Linked DNA regions of Caenorhabditis elegans. The protein of the gene in region 2 interacts with the protein of the main gene of each other region in a pairwise test. Each region holds a gene or a part of one and is shown on either strand. Other genes may lie near its edges.

Region 1 (3,889 bases), on a different chromosome or scaffold from region 2:
CTCGAAAATGGATATTTTCAATGTATTTTTTTCTTTTGTGAAACACATTCGGTTTTCACTTGAAAAAACTACAGATATCAAATAATTACTTAAATACAAAAAATTAGCTAAATAAAATAATCCAAACTCTTCTTTTAAAAAAAAACCAATTAAAAACGAAATATAATTTTTTCTCCACATAAAATCGCGTAAAACTCACAGCAACACGATCATACTCCTGCTCACATGCGATACGAATAGTCGCGAATTCTCTTTGAAGAGGAAGTGGCTCTTCTGGAAGGAATTTCTGCTTCAGTGGAGCATTATCTTCAGCATAAATCGGAAGTTGCTCAATCTTAATAGGTTTTGAATCTCCATTATTCGTCGTGTTTTTCGAGGTGACAAGTTGCCAGAATTGTCCAAAAACATTTGTCACTTGTTCACCGGCGTTTGAAATTGTCTCCACAATCGGCTTGTCTTGTGTCATCTGGAAAATCAAGCGGTAAAACAATAAAATAATAAAACAAGAATAAATATTTTAAAATTGATTAGCTTATTATAATTATTAAAAAACCATGAAGAAATAAGTATTCCTACATTTGTGGCGCAAAATATCTCGTAGCGCAGGCTCTGTGTCGATTTACGGAGTTTGTGTTTATTCACGATGCGCCTTTAAACAATTATTTAAAATTGATTTTCTTTGTATTTAATTACCACTTTTTCATAAATCGACACCGACGCCTGCGCTACTATATATTTCGCGCCAGGCTTTCTTGTTTTTTTTTTAAATATTTTCTAACATTTAAACCCCTCTGAGGACGGTTTTAAAATTAAAATAGATAATTAACAGGCAATTAACCATGTCTTTAACCAATCCAAATTACCCTTAAAACACCCAAAATAATTTATTAAAAAAACGAAAATTGGGGAGATCTTTTGCATAACAAAACAGAAGAATAATAAACAAAGGATGTTCAGAATTTGGACAGTTTAGAATGGGGTTTTAAAATGGAACGTCAGTAATGGAAGTTTAAGAACGCGATCTTCTGCCGGCTGGAGAACGAGAGCGGCTGGCACGGCGGAATCTGTTGGGCCCTCCAAGTGGCATATTGTTGGCTCCTGAGCCACGGCCGCCCATTGGAGAACGTCTGCGATGTGGTGGTGGACTGCGGCCTCTGGAATTTGATGAAAATTATCAAAATATACTACTTTTCCTTGATTACTTACCCTCTTCTCATTGGTGACATTCTGTCTCTTGGTGGCGGCGAGCGTCTTCTAAATGGAGAACTTCTACGCTGGAATGGGACAGATTGTCGTCCGATAGTCATTTCGACGTGAACAGCCATTCCATCGATTTGTCCTCCATCCATGTGCTTGATCGACTTTTCGGCGTCTTCCAAATTGTCATATTCAACGTATCCATATCCACGATGAACATGGTTATGGAAGCGATCTGGTGGAAGATCGACATTCTTGATGGCTCCGTAGATCGAGAAAATCTCCTCGAGGTGCGTTTTCAGAACATTTCTGCTCAAATTTTTGATCACTACACGCTTGGCCGGACTGGCTGATCTTGCTGCTGGGCTTCTCCTCGGAGAAGCGCGTCTCCTCTGACGGCTCCCGCTTCTGTCACGACGATCACGACGTGGTGGCGATGGGGATGGACGACGGCGACGTGGTGGTGATGGTGATGGTCGCATTGGGCGATCGCGATCCGCGCGTGCTCCTCTTGGCGGTGAACCACGACGGATTGGAGAACGAGAGCGTCCTCCACGAGCTGGTGGGCGGGTATCACGACGACGTGGTGAGCGAGAACGAGAACGGCCACTGGACGATGAGCTGGAGGAGCGAGATCCTGATGAACTACTTCTGAAATATCGATTATTAAGCTATTGTATGAAAATTGTAAAGCATACCCAGAAGATGACGATCCAGAGCTACTGGACGAGCTGCTTGAAGACGAGCGAGCCCTCTTTTTGGTTTCTTCTTTCTCAACCATACTGAAAAATTATTTCATATACTCGAATAGACATCAACTAAGTAAGAAAATTTTCACCGCGTGGTGTTCGAGCAGAAGAAGAGACAGAATGTTGGCTAAAGCGCTTACTTTTTTGAGTAAATAATTAACCAAAAACAAGAATTACGGATTTTCAAATAAATTTTTAATTGAAAAACAAGAAAAAACCTATAGAAAAACTATAGAATTGAAAATATCGAATCATTTTTCGAAGAGACGCGGGTGAATGATTTACGGTAAACAACGCGCGCGGTGGAATATCGGAGTGTCGTTGCAAAACAAAACACTTTCGTTTTTTTTTTCAATTTCAAAATGGACTCTGCAGAATCTGAACTTTTAGAAGAAGAAGAGCTCCCAGAAATCAAATATATCGACTCTGCAGAATTCCAAAATTTCGATAATAACGCTGATCAGCGTGAAATTCAGTTTCGATGGATGGAAGCATTTGAAACAAAAGGTAATTTTTTCCCAAAAAAGTATTTTAGCACTAAATTCTTTTGCAGAACCAAGATGGTTTAGGCTTCTTGACGAATTCATCACTCCACTTTCTGGAAAACGTGGATATTGTTCTCGAATCGTCGAGAAGTACGCTCGAGTACTTCTTCATCAAGGATTTGAGTTGAGCCAGACGGATGGGCCGCTTCGTGTCGCAGCAATTGCGGCTTCGAGAGATGTGGGACAAGCCGGAAATCTTCCATCAGTATTGAACAATTTATCAGAAGTTACAAGACATCTGAATCTTGCTCAGTATGCCAGCACATCGCTCGCCACTGTAGGACAGAGGAAATTCGCAAATGAAGTCGTCCAGTGAGTGATTTTTTTTAAAATTTTATCTTTTCAATGGAAATTTCTTTCAGAAAAACTGTGAATCAAGAGCGCCTTGGTTGTTTTCACCTGTTCCTCATTGGATACCGCGAAGGACTCGAAAATCTTCTCTCAAATCATCGACACCTGCGAAATTTTCGATATAGTGCAAAAAAACGGCATGACCTTCTGACGGAGCACATTAAGAATATATTTCAAGAGCGAGATTCGTTTATTCAAGCACCAGAAGCTAGCAGCTTCGCACTTCAGACGGTTCTAGAAAACTGGACATTTCCACTTCAAAATGAACAAATTGTACAACTCGCCCATGCGAATACTCTTCAAATGCGCGCTCTTCACGTCAAAGGAGACGGTTTTTATTTTCTAAACGAAGCACTCAATGTGGCTATTGCATTCAACTGGTCCAGCTCCCAGGAAGAAATGGAAGAATTCTATTCAATTTTTACTCCACAAGCGACAAATCCACGTGGAAAACGAATTTTTCAATTTTGGAAAATGATTTCCAAGTACGATAGGAGTAATGGAAATGCACAAGGATTCTTGGTGACTGCTCAGCGATTAGAAGAGGAATCCAAGTCAGATGATATTGGAGCTGGATGTGTGACAGCTGTGGAACTTGCGTGTAAAATTCGCAACCAGTGTGATCAGCATGAAGACTTGTCAGTTTTCCGCTGGATTCCAGAGTTTCATATTTAGCAGGCCCAAAACGAATGCTTGGCAGATCCAAATTTTTCGCTCAATAAACAGCAAATTTACCTCTCTTTTCGTTTTCTCCTTCAATAAATCGAGACAGTCTGTCTGCTTTGGTCAGCTAAACATTTAGACCAAAGTTAGGTATGATAAATATTTAGCAGACCAAAGTTAGGTATGCTAAATATTTAGTAGACCAAAGTTGGGTATGCTAAATATTTAGCAGGCCAAAGTTAGGTATGATAAATATTTAGCAGACCACAGTTAGGTATGCTATATGTTTAGCAGACCAAAGTTGGGTATGCTAAATATTTAGCAGACCAAAATTAGGTATGCTATATATTTAACACACCAAAGTTAGGTATCCTAAATATTTAG
Region 2 (4,263 bases):
AGAGAAAACGAATGGGAGAATCATTGCAGGAACCTGATCCATGAATATTACAGTTGTTGAATCGAGCTGCAATTTTTTAAAATTAATTTAAAGAAATATATTTTATTAAAAACTAACCTCGAAAAAGTAAATTGTAGATGCCCTTCGACAGGAGTGATAAAGTACAATCCATGAAAGAATTAAAATGCTCGCCGATGCGGCAATCTTTGCCACGTCGTCTCGCATTTTTGGTGGCGAATCCTGAGCTTTTTTTGAATCAGTACACATACTTTTTCTTTCTGGGAATAGCACGTGCTAACTGTGAGACGATACGAAAACAAAAATGGCAAGAGACGAAGAGAAATCAAGTAGAACCGTACTATATAAAGACCTGTTTATCCTTTGCCATACGAAACAAAAAAGAAACGTGCGTTGCTGCCGGTGGGACGACACATAAAGAGAAATAAAGAATGTGTGGGAAAATCAATCTTCTACTGCTGGCCGGTGACCAACATTTTTAAAGAGCACCACAAACACGTGCTGCTCTCTAGTTCTCCAAGCAGTTGTTTACACATTCGAAAACGCTCTCACAGAGCAAAAAGTCGCACAAAATAAGGTCTCCCTGGATTTCCCCGTTCACAAATTACCGAAATATTACTTTTATTTTCCGACAACAGTTTATAAAATGGATGAAAGTTCACGATTTTAGGTTACAAAAAGAGGAACAAAATAAAAAAAGACAGAACAGTGAAAGGTAATAATGGTAAAATTCGGTTAAACAACAAAGAAATTAAATTTAGTGAAAACTTTTTTAAATCATTGATTCGAGATTCTTCGGAGGAATTAGGGTTGCAAATTGATGTTGTGGAGAAGATACTGTATGGTCTTGGATCTTCCACAATTTAGTGCGGAGAAGCAGAACGGCTGCGAGAACGGCTTCGAGAGCGGGAGCGACTCTTCGAGTGAGAACGATCACGTTCTTGAGGAGATCGAGATCTGAAATTTCTCATTTAAATTTAAATAACTATATCCAAAACTCTTACCTTGAACGAGTACGTTCTCTTTCGCGACTGCGTTCACGACTGCGATCTCTGCTTCGGTCACGACTGCGATCACGGCTTCTGTCGCGGCTGCGATCACGTCCACGATCACGAGAGCGTGAACGGGAACGTCCACGGTCTCCTCGGTATGGCGATCTGAAATAAACAATGTTAAAACATTCCGAATATTGCATATTTGTCGAATACATCTTTCCTGCAGATGGCAGCATAAAGAAAGGTAGATGTAACTTTCTTACTGAATGGGAAGATTCAGCCGACGAAGGCATGATGAGACGATTTTGTCAGAAGCTCGATTCAGGAACTACTGCGGAGAATTAACTGATGAAAAGAGTCAAAAACAATTCTGGTGCGATGATTTTGGGAGAAGTAAAGGGCGCGTAGCGATGTGGAAGAGAAGAATGTGTCGTGAAGACAGAAGACGGAGAGGAGTGGAAGATAGTGATGTTTGGGATGGCAGATGGGGACGCGGACGAGCGGAGTCCGCTAAAATTAAAAATTTGGTCCACGGTTTTACCGAATAAAATTTTTAATACAGCTCTCTTTTCCTTTAACTATCAAATTATTTTCAACTAACCTGTCTCTTCCGCCACCACCTCGGCCGCCGAAACCTCCACCACGACCGCCACCGCCACGTCTTTGTCCAGTTGAAAGTTCAACACGAGCACGGACACCACAGATTCTTCTATAATTTTGAAGCATTAAACGAATATCCAAAGCAAACAACTTACGATCCGTCAAGAGCGCGGACAGCATCTTCAGCGTCACGAACGTCGTCGTATTCCACGAACGCAAATCCAGGAGGGCGACGAGCTACCCAAACCTTACGGATCCTTCCAAATCGATCAAAAATCTCTTCGAGCTGAAAAATGTATATTTACATAATTACTGTTAATGGCTCAAGATTGAACTCACTTCTTGTGATGTTGCATCACTCGGCAGACCGCCGACGTACACCTTGGCGTCCATACTGAAAAATCAAATTAATTTATGAAGTTGCAAAAGAACGAAGTTTGAATATTCAAAAAATAATTATTGAGAAACAAAAATAAGTGTGAAACGGAGATAGCTCGAGAGCAACGCGCGCGAAATGATTTCAATAAACGCGACGCAGCTGCTCGCGATGCGTGTAGTACGGTAACACTTGTTTCAGCTGTGCAGATTTCCTAATGTCGGGGTGAGATAACGGCGCGAATTCGAACGAAAATTTCAGTTGCAATTAATCTTTTTGATAAATGCATTTTATAAATAAGCCGAATTTGTTGCACTGTATAACGGATACATGTATTAATACAGAAATTGTGCAATAAAAAGTAAACTCGAATGCATCACATTTACACTTAATTTTTTAAAGCATGCCTTGTTGCATGTTTCCACTAAAATATGTTTTATAAAAAAACCGAAATGATAACTATCTTCTGAAAATATACATACAAATGTGAAAGTAGAATTGTGCTGAATTTATTTCTAAGTAGAAATAGCAAAACCAGTCAAAGTTTCAATTGATTTTTATATATCAATTGCAAATTTATGAACCAGATTATCAAATTAAAATTATTTGCTCAAACACAAAAAACATAGACAAGCCATTAAACCAGCTAAGCAACACATTTCGCCTCCTCCTCCCCCGTGCTCCCGTTCACGATGATGATGATGGTGATGGCAGTCGTCAACTCTGAAAGAAATAAGTCAATATTATTAATTTTTCGCGAAATATCGAATAGAACTCACATGACAGTTTGAGGCTGTTGATAATATACTGCATATGCTGGTTGAACGCCTTGTCCGATGGGAACACCGGGTTGTACTGTGTAGACACCTTGTGGAGGTTGTGGATATGCGTTATAAGCCTTGAATCATTTTCGGTTTAGTTTTTTTCAAAGATCGAACTCACTTGATTGTAAGGTGGCGGTGGTGGTGGTGCGCCGCTCATTGTCAAATACTGAAAATATAGTGATAAGAGAATGACGATTCAAAGACGACGAGTTTATAAAATACTCCTTTTCCTTATTTGCCTTTCGCTGATTCATCTAGAAGTGAAGTGACGAAACTTAGTTATCATTTTAATCGGGTTGAATATAAAGTAAAAGACCAGTCACACCTTTTTATTGCATTTGACATGAAAATAATGATAAATTATAATTGTTATAAGTTAAATCATGCTCTACACATTTAGAAAATCCGGTTTAGAATCGGTTCGCAGAAAATTATATTTTTTGTACGTAGATTCAGATTGAAGTTGGCGATATAAAGCAACTGCCAGTACAATGATAAGAATGACAAAAAATGAGAAGAAATTTGATATTTGTTGGGTAGATTGCGCAACTTCAAGTTGTTCTAGTAGGTTGAATTTGAGATCCTTTGAGTGATAAAGCATTGCTCCTAGAGCCCATTGCATTTCTTCACCGGCTATTTTCAGAACACTCTGAAAATATTTATCTTGAATGTAAGATGTGTCTTTAAAAATTCATACCTGAAACAAATGCTTGGTTTTATCCACATTAAAACCGTCATGAAGTACACTGGTCACCCAAGCAGCTTTGAAACAGTTTGTTCCAAGTCGTTCAATGTCAGCGTTGGGAAATTCATTTCTTTTGAATCCATCTTGAATATCATTCCAATCTTTTTGGCAGTATTTTCGAACTTCGTCCGTAAATTTTTGATAATGATATTCGCCACCAGATCCGAAATTGCTTGTCGTATACCAGTATTCTGAGAAGCCATACAATTGAACAGTTGATAGGTTAACTGATGGAGCAATCACGTTACGTAGGAAACATGTTGGGTTTGGACAAGAAGGTTGAGCTTTATCACCGATTAAAGATGATACTTGTGCAAGACAAACGTCCCATTCTCCGGTACCCTGTAAATTTGAATAAATTTGAAAAAATAGTAGTTTCTAAACTTACATTAACTGTGAACTCTCCAATTAACCTGTTAAGACCTCTGGGAGAGCACGAATCATTTGAATTTCCAGATTTAACAAGCGAATTTTCATACTTTTTCAGGCCTTCATTTGCTCCATAACCAAGGAATGTGGTAGAATAAATCTTATACTTGTAGTCCTCATTGGTTTCAATCGATCCTAAATTGATCTCATACACATTTCCGCCGTTGTACGATTCCTTTTCATTTGCAATTTCAAATGCTATTTGAACGCTTGCACCGCCCATATCAATCATTCCAACTTTTGAATCATTCTCTTTATCAAATCTGCCTGAAACAC

Evidence for each region.
Region 1: the proteins of rsp-6 (region 2) and rnp-5 interact in a two-hybrid assay, tested with the Caenorhabditis elegans proteins (one large-scale study listed by BioGRID).

Annotation. Positions count from the first base shown.
Region 1 is NC_003281.10:851,931-855,819, forward strand, and holds rnp-5 (RRM domain-containing protein), read right to left. Parts: upstream 1,980-3,889; 5' UTR 1,979-1,979; coding exon 1,896-1,978; intron 1,849-1,895; coding exon 1,207-1,848; intron 1,155-1,206; coding exon 1,010-1,154; 3' UTR 871-1,009; downstream 1-870. Other genes in the region: moma-1 (MICOS complex subunit MIC27), read right to left, coding at 200-466; tag-51 (uncharacterized protein), read left to right, coding at 2,309-2,453, 2,500-2,803, 2,854-3,480.
Region 2 is NC_003282.8:7,789,223-7,793,485, forward strand, and holds rsp-6 (putative splicing factor, arginine/serine-rich 6), read right to left. Parts: upstream 2,008-4,263; 5' UTR 2,007-2,007; coding exon 1,953-2,006; intron 1,900-1,952; coding exon 1,769-1,899; intron 1,723-1,768; coding exon 1,615-1,722; exon of another isoform or gene 1,176-1,614; coding exon 1,023-1,175; intron 976-1,022; coding exon 882-975; 3' UTR 625-881; downstream 1-624. Other genes in the region: imp-3 (IntraMembrane Protease (IMPAS) family), read right to left, coding at 1-66, 118-267; C33H5.13 (CYSTM domain-containing protein), read right to left, coding at 2,592-2,712, 2,769-2,887, 2,932-2,970; Nucleoside-triphosphatase ntp-1, read right to left, coding at 3,202-3,462, 3,511-3,900, 3,947-4,254. UniProt on the Caenorhabditis elegans protein: Plays a functionally redundant role in shifting germ cell sexual differentiation in hermaprodites. Required for the development of somatic gonad structures and for progression from larval stage to adulthood.